Linked DNA regions of Notamacropus eugenii. The protein of the gene in region 1 purifies or fractionates together with the protein of each later gene. This does not show direct contact. Links are inferred from orthologs where the notes say so. Each region holds a gene or a part of one and is shown on either strand. Other genes may lie near its edges.

The links.
Region 2: the proteins of STK11 (region 1) and COPS8 purify together in Homo sapiens (affinity purification with mass spectrometry; 3 studies listed by BioGRID and IntAct, with this or other methods). This does not show direct contact. The link is inferred for Notamacropus eugenii from reciprocal best matches to the Homo sapiens genes STK11 and COPS8.

Annotation. Positions count from the first base shown.
Region 1 is NC_092875.1:61,886,957-61,902,425, reverse strand, and holds the start of STK11 (serine/threonine-protein kinase STK11), read right to left. Parts: upstream 7,935-15,469; 5' UTR 7,106-7,934; coding exon 6,816-7,105; intron 1-6,815. UniProt on the Homo sapiens protein: Tumor suppressor serine/threonine-protein kinase that controls the activity of AMP-activated protein kinase (AMPK) family members, thereby playing a role in various processes such as cell metabolism, cell polarity, apoptosis and DNA damage response.
Region 2 is NC_092873.1:61,836,649-61,851,866, reverse strand, and holds the start of COPS8 (COP9 signalosome complex subunit 8), read left to right. Parts: upstream 1-9,328; 5' UTR 9,329-9,565; coding exon 9,566-9,646; intron 9,647-9,892; exon of another isoform or gene 9,893-9,978; coding exon of another isoform or gene 9,979-10,020; intron 10,021-10,112; exon of another isoform or gene 10,113-10,136; intron 10,137-10,692; coding exon 10,693-10,763; intron 10,764-12,871; coding exon 12,872-12,920; intron 12,921-14,033; coding exon 14,034-14,166; intron 14,167-15,218. UniProt on the Homo sapiens protein: Component of the COP9 signalosome complex (CSN), a complex involved in various cellular and developmental processes.

The DNA.
Region 1 (15,469 bases):
CTTTCCTGTGGAGATTGGTAATGACAACATTCACTTTGGCTGCTTCCGAAGCTCAGAAGAAAGCAGAATGCCTGTTTGGTTGACTATGGAATCAATGGTTGACTAACCAAAAAATCCCACAAGATTAGGGCCATAAAAGTTGTTCAAGCTTTGCAAAAGAGTGGAAAATAGGTGCACAAATAATTAGCTTGTCAAACTAAAACAGAGAAAAACTGAAAGACTTTAGGATAAGACTCATTGACATTGCCCTGGAGGAAATTCTAGCTTAGTATGTCTGAGAACAAGCCTCAAATCATACCCCAAGAATAGCAGGCAGTCTACAATACTGACGCTAAACTTCTTTTATCACCTCGATGCCCTGCATTCTCCAACCACTAAAAACTTAGAAACCTAAGATCTTAGAGCCAAAAGCGATTATACAGGTCCTCTAAATCAATGATCAAATGAGGCAATATTTGTAGAGTGGTTAGCACAGTGCCTGGCACATAGAAGGCATTTTTAAAATGCTTATTTCCTTCCCTATACTACAGTTCCCCCACCTCTACCTTTTTACAGACAAGCAAACAGCCCGGATGAGGTAAAAATGACCAGTTCAAAATCACACAAAGAACTAGTCTGAGAGCCAGGACTAGACCTCAGGTTATCCAACAAGCAGGTGAGCAAGAATCTGTACGCAGAACCTATGTAACTGAATACAGAAAAAAAAAAAAAAACAACTAATCATTTGCTCAAACATTGAAGTATCCAAGTGCTTAAAGTAGTGTGCCAGGTGCTAGAAGACAGATGCAGCCTGAGTGTCTCAAACTCTTGCCTAAAATAACTCAAGTCTAAGGACCTGGGGGAGGGAGAGGGAGAGCAGAGGTGGGAGGCTGTCGGTCTAGAGCACTTAGAGCATTGCCAACTTGCTACTACTTACTGCACAGTCTATAGATTACAGCCTGATCAGTCACTATAAGCAGTTTATCGATACCTTATTTTCTGGAAAACAAGATTCACTGATCGTCAGGGGACTATGCGACGCAAGAGTAAAGTGTTGATGCATTTTACTTCACTATATTTGTTATGAGGGGAGGCAGTTACAGGGGAGAGCTGCACGTGAAAGTGAAAGACAGGAAAAAAACGAATCAAAGGACAACAAATTTTTTTAAATACACAAAAGAAAAGAAATCAGAATGGAACACAATCAGAGCAATTTTGTTACTATTCTGTTAAATTTAATATAGTTTTAAAAACTTGTACATAACAAAAGTTGAAAGTTTCAAAAGCCATTCTCTTTTTTGCTGGTATTTTTTTTTTTTACTAAAATGTTCAAGTTTGTGGATGGGCTATGTTCATTAAAACAAAAAAAAATACAACCCTTCCCCCCTACCCCCCCCCCAAAAGAGTAAAGGGTTTGCCAAGAGATAATCTTATAGTCGTAAGTCACTCTATTCTTCTACAGGACCCTCTCCCCATAATGAAGATTTCTACTTTCTCCCCCTCCAGTTTTTTGACCACTCCTGTCTTGATTATTAACTGACATAAAGCCTGGTCCTCCACTAGGGAGCTATGGGACCTTGGGAAAATCACCTAACCTGTCTCCTCATCTATAACATGACTAGGGTGAGGGAGAGGAACTGGAACAGTGGCACCCTTCCAGACCTTTCCTGTCCCAACTACCTGACTTTAACAATCTTTGAATCAACATTCATTTTTCTGTCATTCAAAGTCCCTGGTACTTTTCCCTCAAACATTTCTTCTAAGGGCAGCTTCTCCTTTCCATTGTTCTTCCTCTCCTGGACCTCAAGAGAAACCCTCTTTCAAAGCTTAGCATACAGTGTGGCAAACACTTGAATTCTTGTTCCAATTTACTTACAAGAATAATTCTTCCAGTTTGAAAGTGTTGGAACAAACTAATGAATCACCTCCCTGCATTCCTCCAGCTCACACTGTCCATTAAGGTCACATCTTTATTTCAAAATCATTCCTTCTTTCTGCCAAATGAAGTGACAAGACAAACAGTGAAATAACCAGAGACATCCAAGACCCTTATTCTAGCTAGACTCCTAAGGCAGCAACAGGTTAGTATCAGAAGGGATTCAAACCGGCCACATTCTGCTCGTATTCTCAAAGCAAAATACTGATCTCACCCAGGGAGAAAGAGTAATTCTCAAGTAACACCCTGAACTTGATATATCTCACCTCACAAAAACCAAATCTGACAAAGTCCAAGGCTCTTGTTCTCAACTTGCGGAAATTCTGACTATTTCACATCCAAATTCAGGCATCCACCAATCAATCCAAATATAGTACCTGGCTTCACACATAAAGGAATAGGGAGCTCAAATCTCTACAACTTTGCCACATTCAGTCAAGTAAAGACTTCTAAAAATCTGATAATAAATTTAACACCACACTTACTCAGGAAGCCACTGCTAGCTTCAGAGAGGAGCAAATTACTCAGCAAGAAAGAGAACTGCTGAACAGCTCAATTCTGTCACAGGGGTTTTCTTGATTGGCTAAATAAAGTTAACTCCTGTATTACCTTTTTTAAAGAACATAATTTTTGAGGTATTTGAAAGACAAAACATTCAAGTAAAATAGAAATGCTGAACATTTTAAGTACAGCACAATGCTCTTGGGGCTTGCGCCAAAGGTCCCTGACACTTAATTAAAAGAGAACACTATTAGTGTTTAGTTTATTAAGCTTCTGACAGACAAAGGTTCTTTTCTCCTTGCAGCTGGTTCGTACTAGACGTAAACTCAAAGAACAAGTTCACCCAGAAACTCATGATTTAAAGAATCACACCCAACTTCTTTTCCACTCGAGGAAATGGAGGTGACCCTGAATCCTCTAAGGAGCCCCAAACCACCCAGCCTGGCTAAGTGCAGAGAGGCTCAATCTCAAGACCTACCAGTTAGTTGGAATTTCTTTGGCCACAGCAACTCATGGAAACCATCTAAGGTATGAGGTACCCAAGCCAATGAAATCACAAGACCCTCTGAAGTATAAGAAGTTGTTATCAACTCTAAATTTTACATCAAGCCATAGACACTGGTTTAAAAAAATAAAATTGGTACCTTCTCAATATGAACCAAAGAGAAAAATAATTTTCAGTACTAGATTCCTTCAGAGCATCAGTTGGGTGTGGCAACAAGGGGCCTGAGACCTGAGGGCATGAGTCACAGCCAGCCAAGCAGCTGGTCAGAGGAAGAAGGAGGTGGCAGTTTCTAATATTTATAACAAACTTAGGGCTCTTAATCAGACACTATGCAGATGGTTTAGGCCAAAGGTTAGGGAAAATTCATGACACTCAGGAACCTGGTTTGTAAACCTGAATGCATAGTTCAATGCACAGTACACTGATGAACTGAGAAGCAATATGGTTCAATAGAAAGAGCACTGGATAGGAATCAGTTCTTGGTTCTCCAACCCTGGCTCTGCTGCTCTATGTGATCTAAGACAAGTCATTTCCCCTTTAGGGGTCTCAGTTTCCTCATCTTTAAAACAAGGAAGTTTTGGACAAGATGTGTTCTAGACCAAAGAAGTGGAAGAGATTTAGCAACCATCTAGTTCAGTGCTCTCATTTGACGGGTGAAGAAACAGAGGAGAAGAGGTTGATTTACCCAAGGTCACAAAGATAACCAGAGGCACAGTTAGGACTGGAACCTAGAATGTTGTACTGCCTTTTTCAGCTCTGAAATGCTATGTTATTGATGAAAGATCATAGGATCTCAGATTTCAAACTGAGGCTCAGACAGACTCTGTACCTTGTCCAAGGTCACAGTCAGTAAAGAGGGCCATGGCTGTATTTTGTCGCTGTTATTCAATCATGCCGTTATGTCTCACTCTTTGTGACCCCATGGACCACACTTTCACAGGGTTTCCTTGGCAAAGATACAGAAGAGGTTTGCCATTTCCTTCTCCAGTGAATTAAGGTTAAGCTACCTACCCAGAATCACAGAGCTAGTGAGTGTCTGAGGCTGGATTTGAACTCAGGTCTTCCTGATTCCAGGCCTAGCTCTCTATTCACTGAACCACCTAGCTGCCTCCTATGGCTGGAATGCAGGTGATACAATTCCAAAACAACTTGTCTCCACTGTACTACATTCACCAGTACTAACTAGCTCTTTTGTAAAGGCAGCTGAGATCCAACAGGACCACAAAGTTCAGAAATTATACTTAATTCCACACGTGTATTCTGTGTAGACCATACAATGTCTACTGTCTTGGATAGTGTTTCTGGAAGGAAAACATTCACAAAAATATAACTGAGATCTCTAAATGTAAAGTTACTTGCAACCCTTCAACAAAAGGACAGTTGCTCCTAATCAACTCTCTTTTCTTCATTGAAAAAGAGTTTTCAAAGTTAGTGGAAGGAACTTCTTTGGCAATCAGAGAAAGCTCTGAGAGTTGTTTCTGATGCTTGTTATCTTAGGAATCCAGTCAACTCTGTTGATACAAGTTAATAGACTTCAAAAGTTTATTCTCAGGAAGAATCTAAATGCATAACTATGTAACTTTAACAGGATGCCGATAATGCTTGTAATTGGGCCAGGCAGTTCCGAGGACAATGGGCAAAACTACCTACTAGTAATACCAAACCCGAGTAATATTAGCTCCTATTTAGACAGGGTTTTCATATATATCTTCACAATCCTATGAGATAGGCAGGGCAAGGGTTATTTCCATTTTAAGTGAACAAATTGAGATTCAGAAAGGTTATTTACCCAAAGGCACACAGCTACAGTGCCTGGCTAAGCTGGCACTCTAACCCATTGTCTCCTCTATACCAGCCTACCTCTAAGTACTCAGTAAATATTTGTCAAATGTCAATGGTAAAACCCACAGAGTCCCTTTGTTTGGAATGGCTACAGGCTGAACCAGAGCACTGAGGTCCCCTCCAAATATGAAATTCTATGACAAATGGCAAGGCTGGGACTTGAAGCTGAATCTCCTAACTCCCAGGGTCAGCGTTCTCTCTGCTACACCTCACTGCTTCTCCAGTTCTTTGAAAAATGACTGTATTCACCTAATGCCCAACTGCACTAAGACATTTAAAGGTCTCATCAAGGAATCATTAAATTACTCAAACGATTAAGTTTTAAACCCAAATGTTCTGGTTAGGCAAAGGATTAACCTGTGACACTGCCCAATGGAAACACTGTCTCTTTAGCAGTGGTGAGGTGGAAATGCCCACATCACAGCTAGCAATGTGTCCAGGCTTATAGTTCACATTAGTGACACAAACCTGGATACAGACTACAATCCTGTTCCACCTAACCCAAAGTAAAAGAGAGTAAAGTAAAACCAGACCAAAGGGAAAATGGTATGGTATTAGGCAGAGAGAGTTTCAGAGCACCCTTCTTAGGCAAAATATGGGGAAATGAGTACACCAACTTCACAGTCTGTCCCATCATGCATCATATCATAGGCTAAGAGCTGTAAAGGCTGCTGGAAATTATCTAATCCACACCCTCCTTTTATAGGTGAGGAAACTGAAGCCCAGATCAGGGAAACTTGGTCAAGGTCGCATTACTGATCTGTGGAAGGGTCAGAAACAGAACTCCAGTGTCCCAAGTCCTCATTCAGTGCACTTACCACTAGACCATGTACTTTATCCCGCTCTAGTCCTACCTTCCAAATACTATCCCCAAAGAGCCACAGAGGTTCATTTATGACACTTTCTAATAAGAAGATACTTCCGCTTTCAAAACGAGTTTCCATTAAGAAGCCACAACCCAAGTTTACCTTCCTTTCTTTGGTGTCCAGTCTCACTGCAAAGGGGAAAGTGCTGAATCCCATTCACAGAATGACATGGGGTAGATATAATGACATGAATGGTTATTTTGTATTAACAAGTAGTTTATGATGAACTCAACTCAACTCAGCTCCTTAACTGATTCTGCTATCCTACTATAACTAACCCTACCCATCCACTTTGTCAAGGTTGGAAGGTACCCTTAGTTACTGGTCAGGGCCTGATTCATAAAGTCATCTCCAGAAGGAGGTCAGTGCGCAGTACATAAATAGCAGAGGCAGCCAAATATAAAACCACTAGAAATCAGCAATTCACAATGTTAGAAAGGAAAGGGGCCTAAGAATTAACCCAGTTCAGTCCCTTCATTTTACAAGGGAAACAGGCCCCAAGTAGGGCCATGACTTGCCCAAGGTCACTTTCCCACTGAGTGCCTCAGAGCCAGAAGAACCACAACCTAAATCTTCTGCCTTCCAACTGAGAACAATTCTTACTCCAGGCAACCTCCAACACTAGACAGAACTCATCAGGGGTCATGAATCTGCAGTCACTGATGTTTCTTATGTTACATCATAAGCAAGTTAGAGAGGTCTAAGTTTTCCTTCCTGCTGACTGATAAGCTGGTGCAAATAATTCATTTTGGCAACAGCAGGAACCCCTCTGAACAGGATAAACAAATCAAATCTTGCTTGGCCCCAGTAACTGGCAGCATGTCATGCAAAATATCTACTGGTGGCTCAGAAGGACATTCTGTGGAAATGCAAACTTAAATCGAGTAGACAGACACATGACAACAGAGCAAGTAGTTTCGTGATAAAGCAAACAGATATAAGTATGGGAGAGGGTGTTAACAATTTATAGGTTTGGGCTACTGATATGTATTTTGCTAATATTGCCTTCACCAGCTTAACATTCAGTGGGTATGATTATCATCCACCTGAGACTAAGATGTTAGTGAACAGGCAATTTCTAACATTTCCTTTAGAATATGACATTCATTTGCTTGCCAGTTTAAAGATTTTAAAAGATGAGATCTAATTACATTGTTTTTCTAATGAGCAAAAAGATTATACTTACTTTTTAACATTTGCCTCCCCATTGGGGATCCTTCGCAACTTTTTCTTTTTAAGGATTTTCACAGCTCTCCGGCATAGGGTTTCAGAGTCCAGCATCTCCTTCACTTTCCCATAAGATCCTTCTCCCAACAAATCCCCCATCAGGTATTTGCCAATGAGTTTGGCTCTTTTTCGTCTTGGCTGGTAGATGACCTCGGTGGAGTCTATTCGGTGGATAAATGTGTCCATACCCACAGACATCAGTTCACTTTCTGTAAACATGCCCAACTGCTGTGGTTCTGCCAAATCCATCCTGGATTAAACTCCTTAACCAGGCTCCCTTAGATACACCAGGATCCCTTAATCCAACTTGAGTTCTTGGTTTTCTCAACTTTTCTTCTCAAAACAAAAAAAACAAAAACAGAAGAGGAAAAAAAAAACCCAACTCTTCCAAAGATTGTACTAACGTAATTCAGTAGTCCCTGAAAAGGGTCTAATGCACCCCAAGTGCCTGGCTCTCAAGCAAAAAAAAAAACAAAAAAACAAAAAACATCAAGAACTTTTGCTCAGGCACCTGGCTTGTTTTTTGACCCGGTCTCACTGCTTTGGCTCTGCCAGGTCTCCTCACTCACTGCAGCCCCTAAAAAGGCCCAGGTTGGGTTCTTAAGTGCTAGGTCATTCTCTAGGACTTTAGACCCTTGGACAAATACAGAAGGAAAGTGAAGTCTTTTCAGGACTTTCCATTACCCTTGTGTCATGGCTCCCAAATACAAACTGGGATCAGCAGTCCGAACGTGCTCACAGGATATCTGCACCTTGAATTCCAAACTTGACCCCCTTTGAAAACAAACTGGTGGTGGAAATTTGATTGCTTGAAAGGGTTCCCTCTACTGAATATCAATCTCTTGTCCCACTCCCCCCACCCCAACACATTCACACACACAAACACACAGGCTCCTCCCCTCTATCTGCCAAAAGTTCAAAGCCCTCAACACTTATCAAGGTTTCACAGGGGGCATCCCTTCACCCGGAGTCTGCCGATCCCTCCTGCCGCTTCCCTCCCCAAAGGTCCCCTACTGCCAGCCCCCCAAAGGTCAATGTGAAGACACCGATCCTGGGGAGCCTCCACCAAAGGGCTCCTGGAAAGAGCTCAGACAAGTTTTCCTTCCCACCCACCCGCTCCTGGGGAAATCCCTCCCTTTAATAAATAAAGCCGGGAGGAACGGGATGGGAACAAACTAACCCAATCCCAATTTTCTGGGTCCCTCTCCCCAAAAAGGTGACAGGTAGAGATGAGTACCCCACTCCTTCCAAAGGAAAAAAAAAGGGTAAGGGGGAAGGAGAGGGCCAAACAACCCCCACCAAAGTAGGGGTGCTAAAGGCGACCTACTGACCCCACGACCCTGAAACAAAGACAGAGTTGGGGGCGCGGGGCTGGGGAGGGGAAGTAAACTTAAAAGGCGGGTTCTCACGCCCCCCTCCCCCCGCCCTCCCTTCCCTTTGCTCTCGGGATCCCAAGCGCTGTCGCTTGCCGGCTCCCCTCCGCCCGTCCCGGGGAGGCTCCCGGCAGAGGGGGCTGCGGGGGTCGTCGCTGCTCCCTCGCTCCCTCCGAAGGTAACGGGCGGGGGGCTGGGGGGAAGGGGCTGGGGCCTCGGGGCCCCCGGGAGAGCAGCCCCCTCCCCCCAACCCTCCGAGTCCCGGGCAGCCCGGGACCGGGCCGGGCCGGGGCTCGGCTGCCTCTCCCGACCGGGCTCGGTGAGGGCGGGTCCCGCACCGCAGGCCGCCGCCGCCGCTGCTCCCCCACAGCCGGGCCCCGCGCGGGGCAGCTCTGAGGAGGCCGGGCGGCCCCGGGCCCATCCAACGCGGCCCAGTCGGCACCGGGCCCGCTGCGCACGCAGGCGGAGAAGGAGGCAGGAGAGAGCGGCCGGCGCCCGGGTTCGGTTCCCCCGGCGTCCCCGCCTCACTTAAGAGAGGTCCGAGCGGCCGCCTCCCCCTTCCGCACCCGACACGCCGCCGCCATCTTGTTTACCTCCCTCCCCCCGGCCCTCCTTGGCGCCGCCGCCGCTGCTGCCGCCGCCGCCGCACGCCCCGCCCCCCAAGCGCGGCCGGCCGCCGGCGTGAACGGCAGTTGGCTGGCGCCGAGGGGCCCCCACCCTGCTGCCCAGGGCGATTGGACGGTTTGGACCGGAGCGGGCTCCGAAGCAGGGATTGGTTCCCGAAGGGAACCGCCCTGGAGGGTGGAGCGCGATCTCTGATTGGTCGGGGGAGGGGCCCATTCTGAAGAGAGGGCGGGGAAGGATGCGGGATGGGCACTCGAAGTGGGGAAGGGGAGGGGGAGGTGAAGTGTAGTTGGGGGCGGGGCCAGAAAGCCCAGACCAAAGGCAGGAGCTAAAAACCAGTTCGTAGGATTTACAGCTGGAGAGTGGACCATCCTAGGGACGGTTTTGTCCAAGCCTCTTACTTTACAGATGGGGAAGCTGAGACCCGGAGAGAGGAAGGGAAGTCATTATCAGAGCTGGGGCATGAATTTAAGTCCTCCGACTCCAAACTTATGTTCTTTGTACCCACCCCTGGACTGCTACTTCTCACCATCTCTTTTTAAACCCGTAAAGGCTAATCGACCAGCCTATAATCCCATGAACTGCAGACCTCATAGACCTTAGGGGCAGCCCAGTCCAGCCCTGAATTATATAGATGAGGAACTGAAATCCAGAGGAGGTAAAGTGACTTGTGCAAGGTCACGTCGCTAATAAGTAGCCTCGCCGGGATTTGAGCCCAGGTCCTCATACTCCTCATCCAGCTTTCTTCCATGGAACCAGCCCTTTTGGTAGGAATGGGGCTGCCCTGCTGGCCAGCTTGCCTTGGGCCAAGTCCTGCTAGGATCGTGTAAGCGTCTTTTCTTGTTGATGGGGGTTGGGAGAGAAGGAGTCAGTCCTTCTATTGAAGTGGGGGACAGGGGAGGAGTGAGCCCTGCTGAACCAGCTTCAAGAGGACCCAGAAGCTCTGCCATCTCTTCATTTCCCCTGGCACGTACACCGCTAGGTCTTGACTCCACCATCCATCCAACCCATCCAGCTGGATGCCCTCTACTATCTTGTCTTCCCTTGCAGCTTCCTTTGTGCGGTGTCTTCTCCCGTTACATTGTAAGCACCTTGAGGGCAGAGAGGGACTGTCTTTGCCTGGCCCCGAAGCAGGTGCCTAAACAATGTTTATGGCCCCTAGTACAGCCTGTGTTGGGCACAGGTGTGGGAACACCCAGAGAACAGCTTCAGGACAAGGCTGTAAGCCTCTAGGCTGCTCATCTTCATTCGAAGATTTTCTTCCTCCATCCCAGTGGTTTGGCTTAACAGACTCTGCAGAGGGGAGGGCACACATCTCACTCTGAAGACCACTACTCTCGGTCATCAGACATCCTTCACTCCACTTTTGTCAAAGGGAGGTGACAACTGCCAATACAGAAATGTTCACAAAAAATGTTTGGCTGTTTGTCCCAGAAATACCACTACTAGGTCTGTAATCCGAAGAGAACAAAGAAAAAGGGAAAGGACACGTACAAAACTATTTATAGCCGTTCTTTTGGTGATGGCCAAGAATTGGAAATTGAGGGGATGCCCATCAATTGGGAAATGACTGATTGTGATGGGATACTATTATGCTATGAGAAAAGACTAGCAGGCAGATTTCAGAAAAACCTGTAAAGACTTGCATGAACTGATGCTGAGTGAAGCCAGAAGAACTGGGAGAACATTGTACAAAGTAGCAGCAACACTGCGCAATGATCAATTCTGAATGACTTAGCCATTCTCAGCAATACAATTATCCAACACAATTCCAAAGGACATGTGATGAAAAATGTTATCTGCCTCCAGAGAAAGAACTGACTGGGTCTGAATGCAGGTCAAACCATACTTTTTTTAACTTTATTTTTCTTGATTTTGGGGGTAGTTTTTGGTCTGTGTTCTCATGGTTAATATAGAAATATGTTAGTCTATATCAAATTGTTTTCCTTCTCAAGAAAGGGGGAGGAAAAGGAGTGAGAGAATTTGGAACTCAAAAACAAATTTTAAGTGAATGTTAAAAATTGATTTTACATGTAATTGGAAAAAATAAATTAAAAAAAGAATGTTGAGATGTTTTGTTTTTTACCTTTCCTTGTAAACTCAATTGGAGGTGCTTAAATTAAAAAATGTTTGTTGACTGATTGACTGGGCAGAGACTTGGCTCTTATGTGATCTTGGGTACCCAATATGCCATAGTATAAAGAGAGCTAGATTTAGAGGTAAAGAAACTGAGTTTAAACTGTAGCTAGGTGATGCAATGGTTAGAGCACTGGACAGGAAGTCAGGAATACCTGAGTTCAAACTTGGTCTCTGACTGTTGCTATCTGTGTGGCCCTGGGCAATTCACTTAACCTCTATCTGCTTCAGTTGCCTCACTTGTAAAATGGAAGTAATAATAACACCTATCTTCCAGGGTTTTTGTGAGAATCAAATGAGATATTTGTCGAGTACAATGTCTGACATACAATAGGTGCTATATAAATGCTAGCTGATGTTGTTGCTACTACCTATGTGATCTGGGCACAGGGTCATCTCTAATCATCCTGATTTATATCTTGACCCAGGTAGGTCTGGAGGAGAAAGGCTGATGACTGCACAGCCCTTCCTCGCTTAAATCCAATCCACTTGCAAGTCATAGCATCATCTCCCTGAAGTCCTGGTCCTCTTTGAGAATGAAGGACAAACAACAACCTATGAGTAGCTTGAGCTACCCCACTGGGGACTCAACTGGCCAGTTCCAGTTGATCAACTCCTTTCCTTTCCTTTCCTTTCCTTTCCTTTCCTTTCCTTTCCTTTCCTTTCCTTTCCTTTCCTTTCCTTTCCTTTCCTTTCCTTTCCTTTCCTTCTTCCTTTCCTTTCCTCCTTTGTCCCTTCCTTCATTTCTTTCCCTTCCCTTCTCTTTGCCCACACATGGTATCATATCCTTGCCTTTGGGTACTCTGCCCAAGGGAATGTAAATTTTGATGGCTGAAATCTAGCAAAATGTCTTGGGGTTTCCTAGCTTGATTCTTCTCTTAAGATTATGCTTTAAACCCAATTCACTCTGGCTCTCATTAATTGGCCAACCTTAGATCCTAGCCCAAGCACCAGTTAGCTGTCATTGCTTGGTACCTGATAGGGGTCATTCCTTGACTCTTGCCTAGCCTTAATCACTGAATGGGCATTGCCTCAGTCAACGTGACAACTCAGAAAGACCTTACCTTAAAAAGGCCAAAGTCTTCCACTGTGCCAGGACCATCTCTAGTTGTCTTGATCTATACCTTGATGGCTCTGGAGGAGAAAGTGAGGCTGGTGACTTTGCACAGCCCTGCCTCACTTAAATCCAATCTACTTGCAAGTCATGACATCATCTTCCTGAGATCTCTGTCCTCTTTGAGAAGGAAGGACAAAAAACAACAACATGTGAACATGGGCAGTTCACATACCTTCACTGGACCCTAGTTTCCCCATCTGTAAAATGAAATGATTGGATTAGGTGATTTCCTAAAATTTTTTCCAGCTCTAAACATGATCTGCCAAGCTTCCAATCCTGAGTCTGAGCCGTCTAACTTTCTCTGAGCCTCTGTTTACTTACCTATAATTTAAGGAGACTGAACTAGATGACCTCTAAGTTTCCTCTCTTCTCTGACATTCTATGCCCTTTATTTAAGGACCATTGTAATTTAACCTTCTCTGCTCTGCTTTAATTCAAGAATCATTAATTAGCACTTACTCTGTATAAGATACCAGGCCCAGAGAAGGAGATTCAAACCAAAACCAAACACAATTCTTCTATAATACACAAACACAAAGCTTCTATAATACCATTATATAGTGTATGTTACAAAGAAGCCATGGTCACAAAGACTCCTGGATATGGAAAGGAAGGTCTGATCTCATTGATGTGGGAATTCCCACTAGTAAAGCAGATTCCAGTGCATCTCTACCTTCTCATGCTAGTTAGCCATCTTCTACGTGGATGCCTTTTTGTATATTTTGTGATTTGATATTGATGCTAATGCAGTCACCCCAAACCCTGTTCTTTGGTTTCACTCACTGTGACCTCCAATACCCCAATCCTCTCGGTGCTTTCCTAGGCATCAACCCTGTGCTGACTACACACTCCTTCCTCATCTTGACCCTTTGGTAAGCCCTGCTCACCAGTTTAATTTCACACTGTCCTCTTGAGTCCCTTGTTTCCCATATTTTATTGCCAATCTTGCCTTGCCAAGACTCAGCAGTGGATCACTCCCACTATCCTCTGCTTTAGATCCTGCACATATGCTGCTGAATGAAGGTGGAGAAAATCATGAAGCTGCGATGTCTGCATCCATTACAAATGTATTTTACACAGCCGCACTGCTGCTAGAAAACCCTTTTACACTTCTCTAATTAGCTCACTATCTCATTCTCCACAGAGGCTCATCCAAACCTTTTCATCCCTCCTCAGACTTCCCCTGGCTGCCCCTCTCCCTAGTCTCTCAGCTGAAAATTTTGCCTATTTTCCTGAAAAAATGGAGAGATTTACTGAAAGTTCTCTCTTCTCTCCTCCTCATCTCTTATCCTTGTGCCACTATCTCCCCTGTAAGCCCTGTCTCCCTTTAAGAGCTGGCCCTTCTCCATGCCAAGGCAAACCTCTCCACATTCAAAAGTGTTCCTATCAATTGATCAATATTTTTAAGCACCTACTATGTGCCCTCTCCACCATACTCATCTTCTCCCTTAACTCAGTCTCTCCCTATCTACAGGTTCCTTCCCGACTGCCTACAGATGTCTCCTCCATCTAACCTCCTCTCCCAGAAAAAAACCTCACTTCATCCATCCATCCCTGCTAGCTGTCCCATCTCTCTTCTCTCTTTTATGGCTAACCTCCTTGGGAAAATACCCCATGCCATTTACTATAGGCAACTCCACCTTCTTTCTTCTCACTCTCTCTTTATCTCTACAATCTGGTTTCAGATCACATCATTTAATCACAACTGCTGTCTCCAAAATTGCTAACCATGTCTGAAATGGCCTTTTTTCAGTCCTCATCTTTTTTGAACTCTCTGCTACCTTTGATACTATCAATCTCTCTCTTCTCCTTGAAACCCTTTTCTCTCTGGGTTTCTGTGATGCTTTTCTGTACTGGTTCTTCTCCTACCTCTCTGGTCTCTCCTTTTCTGGATCGTAGTCTAGGATACATATGCTAAATGTGGGTGTCGCCCAGAGCCCTCTTCTCTTCCCCTTCTATACTACCTCCCTTGATGCTCTCCTAAGTTCCCAGGTTTCAGTTATTATCTCTATGCTGAAGATTCTTAGATCTCCTTATCCAGCCCCAACCACCATTCTTACATCTCCAATTGCCTATCAGACCTCTCAAAGTGGATATCCCCGAGACATCCAGCTCAAAACGTCCAAAACTGTGCTCATTATTTTCCTCTCAAAGTCCTCCTCACAACTTCCAAAATTCCCTTTTACTATCTAGGGTACCACATCCTTCTAGTTACCCAGGCTCCCAAGTTCATTGGCATCCTCATTTCCTCACTCTCACCCCCCATAACTAATCTGTCACCAAGTGTTGGTTTTACTTCTGTAACATCTTTCATATATGGCCCTTTCTTTCTTCTGATGCTGCTGCCCTTCTTGTTTGAGCCCTCATCCTCTCCCTTCTGGACTATTTCAGGGGCCTGCTGCTTGGTCTCCCTGCCTGAAGTTTTTCCCCACTCTAGTCCTTTATCTTCTCAGCTAACAAATTGAACTTTCTCAAGTGCTGATCTAACCATGTCACCCCTTCCCCCCCATTCTCCTCCTCCTCCTCCTCCTCCTCCTCTTCCTTCTTCTTCTTCTTCTTCTTCCCTCTAAAACTCATCTTTCTCCTGTACTTCCCTACTACTATCAAAACCACCACCATCCTTCCGGTCACTCAGATTCTCAACCTTGGCGTCCTCCTTGATACCTCCTTCACCCCTTACTCCATGTGTCTGAGCAGTTGCCAAATCATTCTGTCTCTCCAACATCTGTCACATCTGTCCCTTCTCTCTGCCTAGATTCAAGCCTAATTCAAATCCTCCTCATCACCTCTGCCTTACACTACTGTAATCACTTTCTAACTGGCATCCTTGCCTCCAATCTCCCCAATTGGAGTCCATCTTCCACATAGCTGCCAAAACGGTTTTCCTAAGTTGTAGTAACATTGACCATGACATCCCCTCCATACTAACAATAAATTCTATGAGTTCCTTATTATTTCAAGGGTCAAACATAAACTATGTGGACAATTAGGTGGTGCAGTGGATAAAGTGCCATGCCTGGAACCAGGAAGACTCATCCCTTTGAGTTCAAATCTGGCCTCAGATACTTACTAACTGTGAAATCCTGGGGAAGTCACTTAATGCTGTTTGCCTCAGTTTCCTCATCTGTAAAATGAGCTAGAGAAGGAAATGGCAAACCACTCCAGTATCTTTACCAAGAAAACTCCAAATAGGCTCATAAAGAGTCAGACATGACTGCAAAAATGACTGAACAATAAATTGTGTATCCAGTTTGGTATTTAAAGCTCTTTACAGGCTGGCCACACCCTACCTTCCAAGCCTTATTGTATGGCACTCCCACTTATTCTGTGGTCTAGCCCAGGGGTGGGGAACCTGTGGCCTCG
Region 2 (15,218 bases), on another chromosome or scaffold:
GGCTTCCATCATGCCACTAGACTGGATGTAACATGTAACTATACATTAACTCTGAGTTCATATAAAAAGAGAAAATAAGTCACATCATTAATTCAGTGGAGATGGAGAACATTCCACTTTGCACTAGATTTTCATTTCTAAATTACCATTTTTTTCTCTCCTAGTCCTTAAGTTGGGGTACCTCCAACCTCTTGCTTTTTTGGGCAAGTGACAATGAATCCAGTCACCACGACCAAGGAAAGAGAACAGTGTTGTCTGTGGGGAACACCTGGTCTCAGGCAGAATTCAGCACTTTAGAAAAGAAAAAAGAAAACAAATTTCAAACTCTCATTTCTAAAAGTAACCAATACAGTCTCTTTTCCATCAGGATCAAGTCTTCACCCATTTTATTTCCAGAGATCCAGAGTCTTTGAAAGGACTTAGTGATTATCTGGACCAGTTCCCTCCCTTCTAGACTAGGTCACCAAAAATAGGGGACAAAACCATATGGAATCTCTGAATACTGACAAAGATAATAAGATGAACGAAGATTGATGTTGTGCTTCCAATCCTGCAAAGTCCTTTACCATCTATGGGCCCACTGATCCAATCACAGATCCATTCATTTCATGGGTTATAAAAATGGAAGCACCTTGAGGCCAGGGACTGTCTCACCTTTCTTTTTCTGACTCCAGCACCTAGGACAGTGCTCAGCACATAGTTGTTCAACCTTCATCTTGAAGAGGACCAATGATATCAGGGGTGATGTTTTTACTTGCTCATGCATGAGATTTAAGTGAGGTCAAGTTGCATGAACTTGACAACCTCACTCTCTCTTCCTGTGTCATTTAAGTCCACTGGAAGGACAAAAGTCATGATGACTGGTGATGGTCCCGGATGCAGCAGTTGACCTTGTTGTCTCTGATGTCTGATCAAGCTCTAAGTGCCCCATATCACCTGCTTCAGCTGCCTTCATGGCCATTGGAACAAACTGTTCTCATTCATCCATTCCATCAGGGAAAATCTTCACATGCTTGAGGGTAGACATCCCCCTAACTCACTGACAGGTTTGAGACCCATCAGTAACCCTTAACCTGGTTTAGCCTGTCTGCCAAGACAGTTTTACAAATGTGTGGATGTACATGCTATAGCTTCTCATAGTCACAGATAAGAATTTGTGACAGGTGTACTGGAAAGGTGGATGAGCAGCCCTGAAATAGTCCTCCATAAACAACTCACAAGTTGTAGCCACGTAGTAGGTGAATGTTTGTTTCAATTCATTGATTCATTGTTGACAGGTCCTGAGTCAAAGAATTCCCTGACCTAATAAGGCATTGATAAATCACTACAATACTGTGCCAGTCACTGTAAGGAAAAACAGCAAGTTTTGTTGATGATTATGGTGGTGGGCATGGGGATGGTGGGCATGGGAATGATATGATGAACAGAAAGTGATAATGATGGTGATGACTCTAACCACAGTGGTGGTGATGGTAATGATGGACATCATACGGATAAGGGCAAGTGATTCCTATCTGCTTCATTCTCCAGGAATATAGAATGTCCCCAAAGTCTTAGCACAGTTTTAAGCTTTAATAGTTTTAATTAGCTTGACATTGTGCTAACACTTTGGAGACATGTAGTATTTAGTTCATCCAGAGAGAAGGGAAATCAACTTTTGAAGAAAAGGTAGATGAGAGGAATGAGCCCTTCGCTAGCAAGATTATAGGGTCAGATTGGTTACAAGACTAAGAAGCATCTTCTTCACAGACAGAGAATGTTCCTAAGTTGCTGATGCTTCCTGTGAGGTCCAGGGGCCCTGTCTGTAGCATTTAGGACTTTGGGTAGCATTTCTTCCCTCAAAGCAAAGCATCAGGTCAACAATGGTCCCATTAAAAATATTCAACTCTCCAGTATTCACATAATTCTTAGTTTTCACTTAGTGGCTATTCATATATTCTTGGGAAAATACAGCAGCGAAGCACAAAAACATCTCATTTGCCACCATCTTCCAAAGTTCTTCGAGTTGATGTGGAGAGAAACATACAATGAAGCATGGAATGTGATACATGGACGCCATCATTCACAGTGCTGTCTGCTTTCCACATTCTTTGTCTACAAATCAGGAACATATTTGAGTCTCATTTGTTCCCCATCTATCTTTTCTCCCATTCTTCTTACCTCCTAATGAGGGCAACCCCCAGTGATCCTCTCTCTACTTAAAACAATCTGATTCTAAGCCCAGAGCTCTAGTTGCTAAACCACAAAGAGAGATGTGACAAGAAGCATTTAACTCACTACTTAATAGATGGTTAAATGCTGAAATGTCACAATAAAACGAAGGAAATGTTTTATTTCTAAGGATAATGTTTACCCCTCTGGAGATTTGGCTAACTTTTTTTGTTCCTCTGTGCATACATTTTTGTGATAACAATGTTATTTAAACATCCATCCAGATTTTTATTCTTTACGGAGGCAGCTTTTCCCAGTATTTAAATTCCTCCCTGGTTGTAAATGAAATACTTTCCTAAACTGCATGATCTCCCTCAGACCACTAGCAAGGCCACAAGTTACTATTAATAATGTGGTACTATTTAGACTTTCAATTAATTTTTCTATTACTTTCAAATTAGTATCTTGAATTTGTAGAGATTCAAAAGGTATGCAAAATTATTTTAATATTTTCAATACTTATAAAATTAGGATTGTGATGGTTGTGGTGATGATAATATTTATACAGTACCTACTACGTGCCAGGTACTCTACTAAGAACTTCATAATTATGATATCATTCGATCCCCACAACAATACTGAGAGGTAGATGGTATTATTATAAATCCATTGTGTAACTTCCCTGGAATGAGTCTACCTTCCATCTATGCTGACTCTGACCCCACTGGGGCACATTCAATCATCTTTAAGAGGCTAGAAAAAAATGGCCATCACCCTGCAGTCAACCTCAGAATTAGCCTCTCTGGATGTCACTTGGTTATCCTTCAATGAGGATACATAAAAAACTACATGATATATATGCAACTATAAATAATACAAATGCTTATTCCTTCCTTCCCTTCCCAATAAGAGACAGAGAGATGACCCTGATCAAGCCCACACTCATAACCTTTCTAGTTTAAGGAACGTGCCAGCGTTTCTGTCCTGTCAATTCAATTCATTTGATTCAGTCAGTCCAGTTCAGTTTAACAGGCGTTTATTAAAAACCCACTATGTGCCAGGATAGTATACTAGGTTCTGAGGATACAAAGGCAAAAAAAAAAAGTCATTGTAGGGAGAATGAGAGTCAATTGAGGTATTACTCAACAGTCTGAGTGACATGGGACCCCCTCCCACCCTGAGATATTAGGACTAGAGGAATGGATGAATCAATGAAAGCCAATGAAAAAGATTTTTTCAATCCCTTATTGTGTGCCAGGCATTGTGCTAAGGACTGATGGTTCACAGACAAAAGAGAGATCATCCCCATCCACACGGAGTTTAGGTTCCAACAGGAGAGAAGGATGAATCCAGAGTCTGGAAATCAACAATCCTCTGAGCCTTTCCTCTAGGAAGGATTCTGGAAAACCATGGACACAGACTACAGAGTATAGGGAGAGGCTTCAGTCCTCATTGATCAAAAGAATATTCGCACCAATGAAATTAGATTTGTGCTATTTGGTCCACAGAGAAGAAAAAGAATAGCCAAGTGGATGGTGCAAAGAAACAAATCTAGACTTGATCTGAGGGAAAGCTTCCTGAACAGGCAGAGCCGTCTAGGTGCTGCCAGAACTGGTGGGATCACTGATTACTGGAGAGGTTGCTAAAGGGATTCCTGTTCAAGAATGGGGTCCCTTCTCACTCTGAGATGCTACAAAGTCACCTTTCATCAACTCCAGTGATTGCCAGGAGGCAATTGGAGGGGGACAAAGGTGAGCCTTGGCTCATTCTTGAATGAGAAGTCATGCTCTCTGAGCCCTGCAGATTCTGAATTTATATTAACTAAGCAGTGGCAGATAAAGTCTGTACTTAATAATGATTTTTCACATAACTGATTTTTGTTATTGTTCAATCATTTTCAGTCGCGTCCAACTCATTGTGACTCCATTTGGGGTCTTCTTGGCAGAGATACTGGAGTGGTTTGCCATTTCCTTCTCCTGCTCATTTTTACAGATGAAAAAACTGAGGCAAACAAGATTAAGTGACTTGCCCAGGATCACACTGCTAACAAGTGTCTGAGGCTAGATTTGAACTTAGGAGGATGAGTCTTCTTGACTCCAGGTCTAGCATTCTATCTACTGCACCACCTAGCTGCCCTAGGTAAATTTTACATTTTTTTCTTACATATTTTTGTAAGTGAGAACCTTCTTCATGTTGTTAAATGTTTAAAATATTTCAACTGAAAAGGCAGTGGGTGTGATGTAGCCATGGGAAATATAATAAATATAGCCCTGGGCTATGATATCTTATTCCATTTGTCCCCCCATAGGATGGTCCTTTGACTTCTAAGTATCCCAAGTAACTGCACCTGCATTCAATGAGGGTTCTGAGATGCCAAATGACTCAGGAGCCAGAGAGGTAAAAAACTAGTTTGAGAAAGTATGTGGGAAGGATTACAATCTCAACCCAGATCCGTCATGATGGAAGAAGTGGGGAAGAACATTTTTCAAGGTGGTTTCTTAGCTCAGTAGCCTGGAAAAAACAAAGATTAGGAGGAATGGATATGGATAGAGTGCTGATGATGAAGTCAGTCAGGCTCAGCTGCAGGCAGGCCACAAAGCTGCTCCGAAGAACTTTGTTGAGGCCCCATTTCTCAGTCCTGGCATCTCTGCTCCAAAGTAATTCTACTTCATGACAGATGAATGCTTTAAAATATTTTAATAGGGATAGGGACAGACACTAGACCTGTGATTTGAGAAAGGAAATTCATATAAAAAAACTCCCTCTTTCAATGTAGGCCATTACCTTCACTACAATTTCTAGTTGTGGTTGCTCAGAGGATTATGAAAATTTCCAATCCTGTGACCAAATCCCTCTCCAGAAAACTAGGCCATTGAGCAATTCTGTCTGGAGGTTTTCTGTCTAAAAGAACAGAGCAAAACCAACATACCAGGGAGCTGTGATTTCATTAGTGGGGGAATCGTCTGATGTCCAAAGAGGTTGTGACTTAGCCATGAGCACACAGCTGGGGAGTGTCAGGAGGAGGACTAGAACCCATCTCTCCCTGACACCAATCTCCCTCATCTCCCCCATCCAATCAGCCATTTGACCTCCATTTCTCTGTCATTCTACTCACCATTCCAGCACTTAACAGTATCAAGCACACAGTAAGTATTTAATAAATGCCTGTTTACTGTTTCCACAGCTTAAGGTTGCTCATCCAGCATTCAAGGCCTTCCACTATGTGGCATCACCCTACTTCCCAACTCTATCTCAGACTGTTCCCCTCCATGTATTCTGTGCTCTATCCTCTTTAGATGATCCATCAACACTGGCATTTCCCACTTCCAGGCTTTTGCTCATGCAATTTCCTCTTCTGGGAATATCTCCTCCCCTCCCTCATGTCAAACCATCTTTTAAAGCCCCAATTAAACATCACCTTCCTGATGATGATGATGATGATGATGATGATGATGATGATGGTAGCTAACATGGGTTAGCAAAGACTCCATATTCATTATCTCCTTGAACCTCATAAGACCATAAGTCATGTTCTCATTTTACAGATAAGGAAATTGAAACATGGAGTGTCTGCTTGATTTGGCTCCTGCTACCCAGCTTGTGTTAAAGGTAGGGTGGAAATCCAGGTTTTCCTAATTCCAAGACCAGCCCTCAGGCTGAAGAGCTCAAAAGCTTTCTCTGCTCTCCCATTCAGGACTAGAAGAAATGTGATGATAAGATTTTTGAGGAGCAAGTATGTCATGAATTCTCTCTTAGATGTTTTAAACTGGAGGTGCCTGGCAGGAGATATCCAACTGGAGATTAGAGAGAAGGGATCCTGCCTCAGAAGGTCACTAGCCGTGGGAACTTGGGCAAATCATGTAATGTGGATCAGTTTCCTCATCTGCAGAAGACAGGACTTGACTCCATGACCTCTAAGGATTCTTCCAACTGTATATCTGTGCTCCTGGCTTTAGGGCTGGGAGTCACCTGCAAAGACCCTATGGGAGCTGATGGAACCCCCTAGTGAAGAGGAAACAGAGAGGAGAGCACCAGAGTTTGGGGTGGCAGTTACCTCCACTTACCTGCTCTGAGAAGGCTGAAAATCCTGGCCAGGAGGCAGAGAAGGAAATGGCAGCTGGGAGCATGGGGTGCACGTTTGGTGTTTAACAAACACTTTTTGATTAAATAATCATTGGCATTTTTCTTTGGACTGTGCAGAAGTCCCTGGGGCTTCTCCCTCCAGGGGATGGATTTACTACTCTCAGAATCCTTCCAAAAGAATAAGTTTGTCAACCCTTCTGGAGTTATGTTCACAGGTTGCCAAAAAATGATTTGCAACTGATTTTTAAAATGCAAACTTAACATTTTCCAGCAAGGAGGATTCATATTCTTCTCAGGAGGGTGGGTCATTTTCTGAAAATTAATTCTACTTTCCTGCTAAATGAAATCACTTGCATTGCCTGGGGTACACCTTGGAGATGTCTTGTATGACACCCTGCCTCCATAGGCCTGATGTGTCATGGTAGGTTACAGAGGGAAAGAGTCTCATGCCAGGAGTCAGGAAAAGTCAATTGTACTTGATGGGCCTCATTTCTATCCTCTGTAGAATGGGCAGGGTTGAACTAGTTACCAGGTTAAGTCCTCAGCCCTCAGCAGGCATTTTCTCCTCCAGAGAGTTCATATAAGGTGGGAGAGATCCTGACTCCAACTCACACTCTGAAGTTGGTCTCTGAGCAGGACCACATCTCCCCCAGTAGGGAGAATTCCGTTCTTATGCCATCGGTTTGAGTGTCCATTCCAGCATGTTCTCCCCAAGGTCCTTTGGTGAGTAGTACTCTGGTTCTCATTTAACCAACTCGTATCAGTTAGCTTTTCCAAAGTGATATCTTCTGAGAAGATACAGTAAGGGCAGAAGTCATAAGCATTTTCCCCTTCCCCCTACTCAGGGGCCCATTCTCCGATGGACCCCTTTGGGCCCTGCCCAAAGTTCACTCTAGAATGTGGCATAGGTGATGAATGAGTGGCTGTACCTCCTCTGGATGCCTTCCACCCCGTTAGGCTGGGTCAGCAGCTCACACGGGACCTCCCCTAAATCTGGCATGGATTCCAGCTTCCAGGTATCTGCTGGTTCTGGCTCTTGACCTTTCACAGCTTACAAGGTCACAGCCTAGTCTGACCCTCAGTCCCTGAAGAGCAGGAGAGAACATCTGAGACCCATAATCTCTGACCACTTTTTGATCCAAGACCTCTCTCTCTTTCCACTTATAGGAAAGTGGTTTATAGGATTTCATCTTCACTTGAACCTGCCAGGCAGAGAAAAAGGGCTGAGCTGCCCCCACAGGAGTCCCTGTTATGTAAACCCAGTTCCATCTCAGCAGCCAGTCAAAAAACATGCAGTCATCAGGCCAATATAGGGAAGCTAAGTGGTGCAGTGGATAGAATTCTGGGACTGGAGTCTGAAGGACCTGAATTTAAATCCCAACTCAGACACTTACTAGCTGGGGCAAGTCACTTAACCCTGTTTGCCTCAGTTTCCTCATCTGTAAAAGGAATTGGAAAAGGAAATGGCAAACCACTCCAGCATCTTTGCCCAGAAAACCCCAAAAAGAGTTGCAGAGAGTTGGACACAACTGAAATGACTCAGCAACAATAAGATCAGAATGATTCATAGAACTCCATTCATAGAACTACTGCTTGGGCAGTAGAGACCCAGTTTTTCCATGCTATATCATTAGAGGCTTCCAGAGGCCAGATCACCAAAAGCTCAAGCTCCCAGGACTCCTCTGCCAGGCCCACATGACACTCTCTATCTATTGAAAATGTTGCTATTCCAGGCAAATTGGCCATGGCACATTTTGAACCCACTGCCCATGTCCCCCATCCAGAAGAGCTCTCTGGGTTCCTGAGAGCCATAAGAATGGTCCCTGAATGCCTCCCCCAGGGCTGGAGTACAGAAACAGATCGCATGCCACCATCTTAGAGAGTTTTCAGCACATGGTGCCCACTGTAGAGGTCTATGGACTCAGCACACAAAGAGCATCTCACAGAATTAGCCAAAGATCACTGCTTGCTTAGTACTGGATGACGGCCTAGAAACAGCCTTCGCAACACAATGGCAAAGAAAAGAAATTCAAGACAAAACACCAGTTTCCCGGCTCAGAAGAAAGCCTGAGAGATACCTGCAGAATTTCCCAGACTACATGGAGTTGTCCCACAAAGTACCTGGAGCCTGGGGTCAACTGGTGGTCATCTGGTCACCCTTAGATGAGAAACCAAAGGGGCCCAGTGCTGGCAGAGCAGCTTGCCAAACAAGCCCACCAAGGTGACTGCAAAGAATGCTTCTGACTGCGGAGAACCACTCTGCCAAAGCAGAGGGGCACAATCAACCCATTTTTTCTCTAGTGGATACAGAAAAGTAAGTTATTGAATAATAAAATCCCAGGTAGGGAATTTCTCCAGGGCCCCCCACATAGACAAAAGTCCCTATTTGATCCTAAATGAGACCTCAGAGGCAGGCTTTATAAGCCTGGATCAAGACGGGTCCTCATCACAGCTCACACCACTGGGCCAGCTAGCTCCTCTTCAGGGTTCTCTGAGGGGAGGGTGGGGTGTGGGGGTTGCATCTGTAATGGGGGGAGAGTCCCAGGATCCTAAGTCTAGAGCTGGAAGGGACCTTGGAGGGTTGAACTATACATGTGCCTGCTCTAAAGCCCTGTGCTGCATGACCTTGGGTAAGTCAGTTTGGCTCTCGAGCCTCAGTTTCCCCGCCTGTAAAATGGGCATCTGGGTCCTCTAGAGGCATCTATGTGCTGTGTGCCTTTGGGGAGGTGGGTTCCACTCTCTGAGCCTCAGTTTCCCCGCCAGTAAAATGGGCATCTGGGTCCTCTAGAGGCATCTATGTGCTGCGTGACTTAGGGGAGGTGGGTTCCCCTCTCTGAGCCTCAGTTTCCCCACCTGTAAACTGGGGCATTCTGGACAGTTATTTCGGGGTCTAAGGCTTATGCATCTATGAGCTGTACGACCTTGGTCAGCTGGGCCTCAGTTTCCCCATCTGCACTAGCTGCACGCCCAGTTCTGTGGGCGCACGCGGGAGCCGGGATCGGGATCCCAGCACAGGTCTCAGCAAACGGGAGGTGAAAGATGAGTCCTCCAGAGCAGCGAGACTTCGGGGCAGAGCGGCTCGCGCACGCAGCGCGGTGGGCGGAGCCCCGTGGAAGGAGCCGGAAGTCGGGTCGGCGCACGCTGAGGGAGGAAGGCCGGAAGTCGGGGGGCGTGGCCGGAGAAGGGTTCGGCGCCTGGAGAGCGTCACTCTCGGCGCGACGCCGCTTGTGGGATCCGGCGCTCGGCGGCCGGCAGCGAGCTCTGGGGCCCGGCCTGAGGCGGCGGCAGAGGAGGCGGAGGGGGAGGCCCAGGCCCGGCGCAGGCGGGGAAGATGCCCGTGGCCGTGATGGCGGACAACGCCGCCTTCAGCTTCAAGAAACTGCTGGATCAGTGCGAGAACCAGGAGCTCGAGGTACCGGCGGCGCCCGGCCGCGGGGGCGCGCACGGGGCAGCTCTACCCGCGGGCGGGAGGGGGCCGGTTACCGGGGCAACGGAGCAGGGCAGGGGGAGGGGCGGTTACCCCTCCCCCACGGCCCGTGAAGCCGGGGCAGAAATGGGGGTGGGGCACGTAGGGGAGCCTGCTGGATGCCGCGCGGAGCCTCGGGCGACGGTGAGTGACGTCACAGACAGGTAGTCACGTTATCCACGCGCTCGTTCCGAGGTCCGCGGAGTAAGCATTTGTAGAGAGCCTACTGTGTGCGGACCTCCTTGTGATCCTCACGCCAGCTCTGAGGGGGTGCCATCATGATCCCCGTTTTACGGATGAGGGAGCTGAGACGGAGAGAGGCAGGCGACCTCCCCGGGGTCACAGCTGGTGCACCCCACCCGGCAGCCCCAGGATGGGGTCGGGACTGGCCCTGTGATTTCACTCCCGCGTGAGGAAATTCCCCCCACTGGTGCAGGCCAGCAGCACCTTGGAGTCTCACTGGTCATCAGGCCAGCCTTTGTCAGAGTTAGACACCCCAGGCTAGGGCGTCCTGCCCATGAGGCCGCCGGGCGTTAAAAGTTCTTTAATTAAGAGGGCGGAGAAAAGGTCTTCCAGGAACAACTTCCAGTTTTCATTCTTAGATATTCGTTTTGGGGCTGTATTTGAAAAAAATTGGCACCTTTTGCTCCACAAATCCTGTGGCAAATACTCTTGTTTTTCAGAACGTTAGAATTAACATTTTGGTTAAAACAGTCATGTTTCCAGTCGTGCCTATTTAAGAGTTTGGATAAAAGTGTAGGAAATAGGAACTGAAGCTGGGATTTCATTGGTGGTGGGAATTCCTGGAGGAAAAACACTTCTACCAGGCAAGATTGAACACTTTCTCCCACGAGGCTTGGTGCCCTGGCAGCCAGCTGGTGTCAGTTGTGGGACTCGAACCCGGGCCTCGCTGACTTCCTGCACTGCCTACGAACATGACAAAAGGATCCATGGATGGCCTTGGTGACTCATTTGTGTGTGTTGTCTCCCAGGCTCCTGGAGGAATCGCTACGCCCCCCGTGTACGGGCAGCTCCTGGCTCTGTACCTTCTGCACAATGACATGTAAGTATTTGTTTCCATGGCTCACCGTGGCTAAGATCTGACTGATCTTTTTGGAAAGCTTTGCCGCTATTTTAGAAAACTCTTGGAGTTTTTTTCCTTTGGGTTTAGGTGAGGGTATTTTTAAGGTGAGTGATCTCTGCCACTTTGCAAAATGCTGCTTTTTAGGTCCTAAAATCTATACAAGCAGAAGAATGCCCAAAATGACCTTATTCAGCTCTAGCCCATTTTATGTTTATTTAGAACATTTTCGTAATCTTCTGATAATCAACTGATTACAGCAAAGGAGAGCACAGCCTGTGTCAGTACTTTCCTCTGTTCACTCATCCCCCTGGGTGGGGGAGGGGGTAACCTGGCCTGATAGTCCAGCTTGTCAGCCCTCTCCTACCTCATGCTGTCTTGTATTTGCTTACCTGTTCACTGGCTTGTGTCTCTTCCTTCTCACCTCCCCACCCACAAAACGTTCTCTCTGCAAGGACAGTTGTCCTTTCTGTTGTTGAGCCCCCACCCCCATATACAGAGCAGGTATTTTGGGCATATACGCTTGTTGGATTGAACTGAGTTGAAAAAACTGGAAAGAAGTTTAGGGGCAATGATGAGTGACCTTTGTAGCCTGGAGCTGGCTAATCCTTTTTAAATGAGAAGAAAACCAAAGTCACCCCCACCAGAGGAAGCCTTGCCTCCTGATGAGCACAAAAGGTAACCCTAGACTTGGAGCTCCCAGTGGATGAGCTCCAGTGGAGTTCCTGGTGACTCTAGGCTGGAGGTTCTGCCTTTGAACCTCAGTTGTGGAAGCCCTGCCCTGAGCTTTGTGGAGGAGAACTCCGGAGTCAGAGGGGCCTTAGAGATTCTAGTCCAGTAGTGTCCAGTTTATACTGCAACAGAGCCAGACTCAGATGTAATTGGGAAATGTTTAACTAAGGAAATAAAAAGACAGAGATAATGCTAATTTGTGGTTTTCTAAGTCAGTATGCAGCCTGCAGGGGTCCTTTTCTATTTGAGTTTGTACCGATGGTCTGGTCCACCCCCTTCCTTTGGTCCTGAAGAAGAGAGAAGCCCAGGATGGTGGGGCCTATGGGTACCTAAGGCCACATCACACAGTGTCAGCCTCCTTCTGGTTACAAACACCATCCTCTCCCAGCTCCTGATAGTGCCTCTGAAGTCCCAGATCAGCAGCCCACATGTGGGTAGCCCTAGTGTTCATTGCCTTGGTGATGTCATTGCCTGCTCACTCCCCCTTCCTGAGTGTATCTGTTTTGCTTTAATTGGTGTTTTAAGCTTCTTGCGTGTGCTGAGCATCCAGCACATGTGAACTGCAGTCTTTAAATTCAATGAAATCAAAGTGAAATTGTTCCCAGAGTCTAGTTAAGATAGGGGTTCTAGTTGATTTATGTCTAACTTTTTAAAGAGCATGTCTTTTTCTTGAGACAGGTGTGTTTGAAGTTAAATGAAATCCACATTATGGGGATAGTTAAGTTCTGGTACTGATAAGAAAGGTGTTCAAAAACTATAATACAGCAGTTCCATTTTTAGATTTAGCCTGCAATTAAACCTCTTGAGAAGTCCTGATATTTCCTTGAAATTGGTCTCTGAAAAACTTTGGCAGTGCCCCTTCCCAAGTACTGCTTAGTTCCAGAAGGGAAGGATATCTTGGCATAGGATAACCCCTGCCTTAGATTAGGTAAAAAAGGATTGTCACATGGTCCTGAGGAAACTGAGGAACGTTTGGCATACCAGGCAATATGTGCCAGGCCTGGCAGCATCCTGGTTCCCTGGCTGAGGAAACCCCAAGTCAGTCAGGAAATTAGAGCCGCTCTTCTCCAGGTGCAAAGGGTTTGCACGAAGTACCAGTGTAAAGTCACTTACCTTGGTAAAAGATTTTCTCCCAGTAAAAAAGTGCTGAATATCTTTTCAGTTGGGATGCTGCTTCTCCCCAGCCTAACCCATGCATGTGTATGCACACACATGCCAAAGTAATTCTAGAGCAGGATTATACAGAGCTTGCAAAAGTGAATTGAAATGTTTTTTAAAAATCATTCTGTAGCACTAGGATGTTGAGCCTAGTGAAGCAAACTTGACTGATTTTTTTTTTCTTTGTGGATATAAATTAGGAATAATGCTCGATATCTTTGGAAAAGAATTCCTCCTGCTATAAAATCTGTAAGTAATCTCCATGTCTGTCTTACTCCTTTGTAAGGTTATTATGCTTTAAATACATTTCTTATAATAGTAATGATAGTAATTGCTTAGATTACCCAGATTGTACATAGCTTACTTACCTGTCTTGTGTCATATGTTCTTGCCCAGTGGTTTTCTCCCCAGAAACTAAAAAGGCTTTGATCATGTGCAGTCTCTCTTCCAAGGATGGGCCCAGCAATGTTCTGGCCAGCTCATCAACCAAGGATCTGTATGGGAGAGGGAAGGGATTGGCTCAGTTACTGTCCAACCTCACCAGGATGTGGGGTGGCTGGCGGCAGGAGCTTCCACGTCAAAGGCATTGTGAAGCTTTTGAAGTTTTACAAAGGATTTTCTAGAATAACTTTGAAGCAGTCAGCGTGTTCTGCTCAGTAATTCTAGCTGCTGCACAGTCTGAGTTTGGGATGTTACACAACTCCCAGCTCAAAGAGTCTTGGTTCTGTAGTAACAAAGTAAATTTTGTCATCAGAATTGTGGTGTTTTTTTGTTTTGTTTTGTTTTTAAGAATGATATCAGTGCAGTAAATGCTCAGTATCTTTAACATTGGTTTTCCTCCCAAGTCTCTATCTTGAAATGTGACTTTCTTGGTTATTTAGCAGGCTGCTTTGTCTTTCTACGGTAATCTTTAGTTTTGAAAAACTTTAGAGTAACAGTTAAATACATTTGAAGACAGATCTGTTTTGGATTTCAGATCCTTCTCATTGTTTTTGAACTAGAAAACATTCCAGCACAAATAAGGGGTCAGACAGGAGCCCCACAGGCCCACACAGTCACAGCCCTCTCGCGTGTGGTCCAAACCAGATTAAAATGTCATTGGAACATATTTAAACACAATTAAACCTGGATAATATTTTAACACAAAGTCACTGTCTGGCCCTCAGGGATCCTTGGGTGCAGTGGAGTGGCCATGGTTTCTCTTTGAGTTGGACTCACTGTCCGAGCACAGAGGCTGATTGCTTTCCATGTAGTTCTCTGTACATCAAGTCTCATCCATCATTTTTCATATTCTCTCTGAAGCCAGGGATACTACGTGAGGTGGACATGTTCAGGTGCAATGAAGGTTTCTCTTTATTACAGGCGAATTCTGAGCTTGGGGGAATCTGGTCAGTAGGACAGAGAATCTGGCAGAGAGATTTCCCAGGAATCTACACAACCATCAGTTCTCATCAGTGGTCTGAGACCATCCAGCCTATCATGGAAGCGCTCAGAGGTGAGGCCTGATTATTGGTGAAGAATCTAATTCATAGTCACTTTCCTCCATATATTTTTTCAACTTTAGATGTATCAGTGGTGAATGGAAAGTTCATCTTTTCTTAAATGAAGAAGACAGTTTTCAAAATTCAAACACTTCAGATCATGCCACCATCTTAATCAGAGATCATGTACACTGTGGGCAGCAGACTAGAGGTTTCCCCTCTAGCAGCACTTGGATCTAAATCTTCTTGAAGTGTCTCTGTTGTTTTTTACTATAAGAGAACTGGTTTTTAGAAAGGTAACATGGAGCAGTCTTTGAGGACCAAGAAATTGTCAGATATTCAGACTTCTCGTTCCATTTTAGAGTAGGAGCCACTTTGCCAGAGAGACAGGGCTTGTAAAAGCTTGTAAGGTGTTACACAACAGTCTGAAGGGATTTGTCCAAGGTCACACAGCTGGTGGAGCTCAGCGCGTTATATCAACTTGGTTAGAAAGCAGAGGTGAAGTCTGCTATTAGCCCTGATATTCGCATCATCTCTCCAGTCTTATCTGCCCACGTGGCACCTTAGCTCACACCATCCAGGATCGCGCAGGTGCGTCTGAGGCCATCATCTACTATGGTTAGACTGTCCTCCTATGTCATGTTGAGTTGTCTCTCACGTAGATGCCAGCTGTCATTTGCAGTTTAGATTCTCATCTCCCTTGGAGGGGAGCTCTTGAGTCAGGAAGCATGAGAAGACACATGCTGACAGTGATGTGCTCAGTCCAGGATTTATGAAGCCCCCGCTGCGGGGCAAGACTGAACCAGACCTTGGCATCAGGAAGTTCATGTTGTATTGGAGGAGACAACATGCACACATGTACCATTATACAGAGCAGATGGGGCGAAAAGGAGGAAAGGTCTCCAAGGTGAGGAGGGACCATTCCTGGCCCATGCCAAGGCTTAGAGATGCCACGGCTTGTGTGAGGAAGAACAGGAGGGCCTGGTGGAGCCCAGGGCTCCACCATATTTAAACACAAACCTGGATAATATTTTAACACAAAGTCACTGTGTGGCTCGCAGGGATC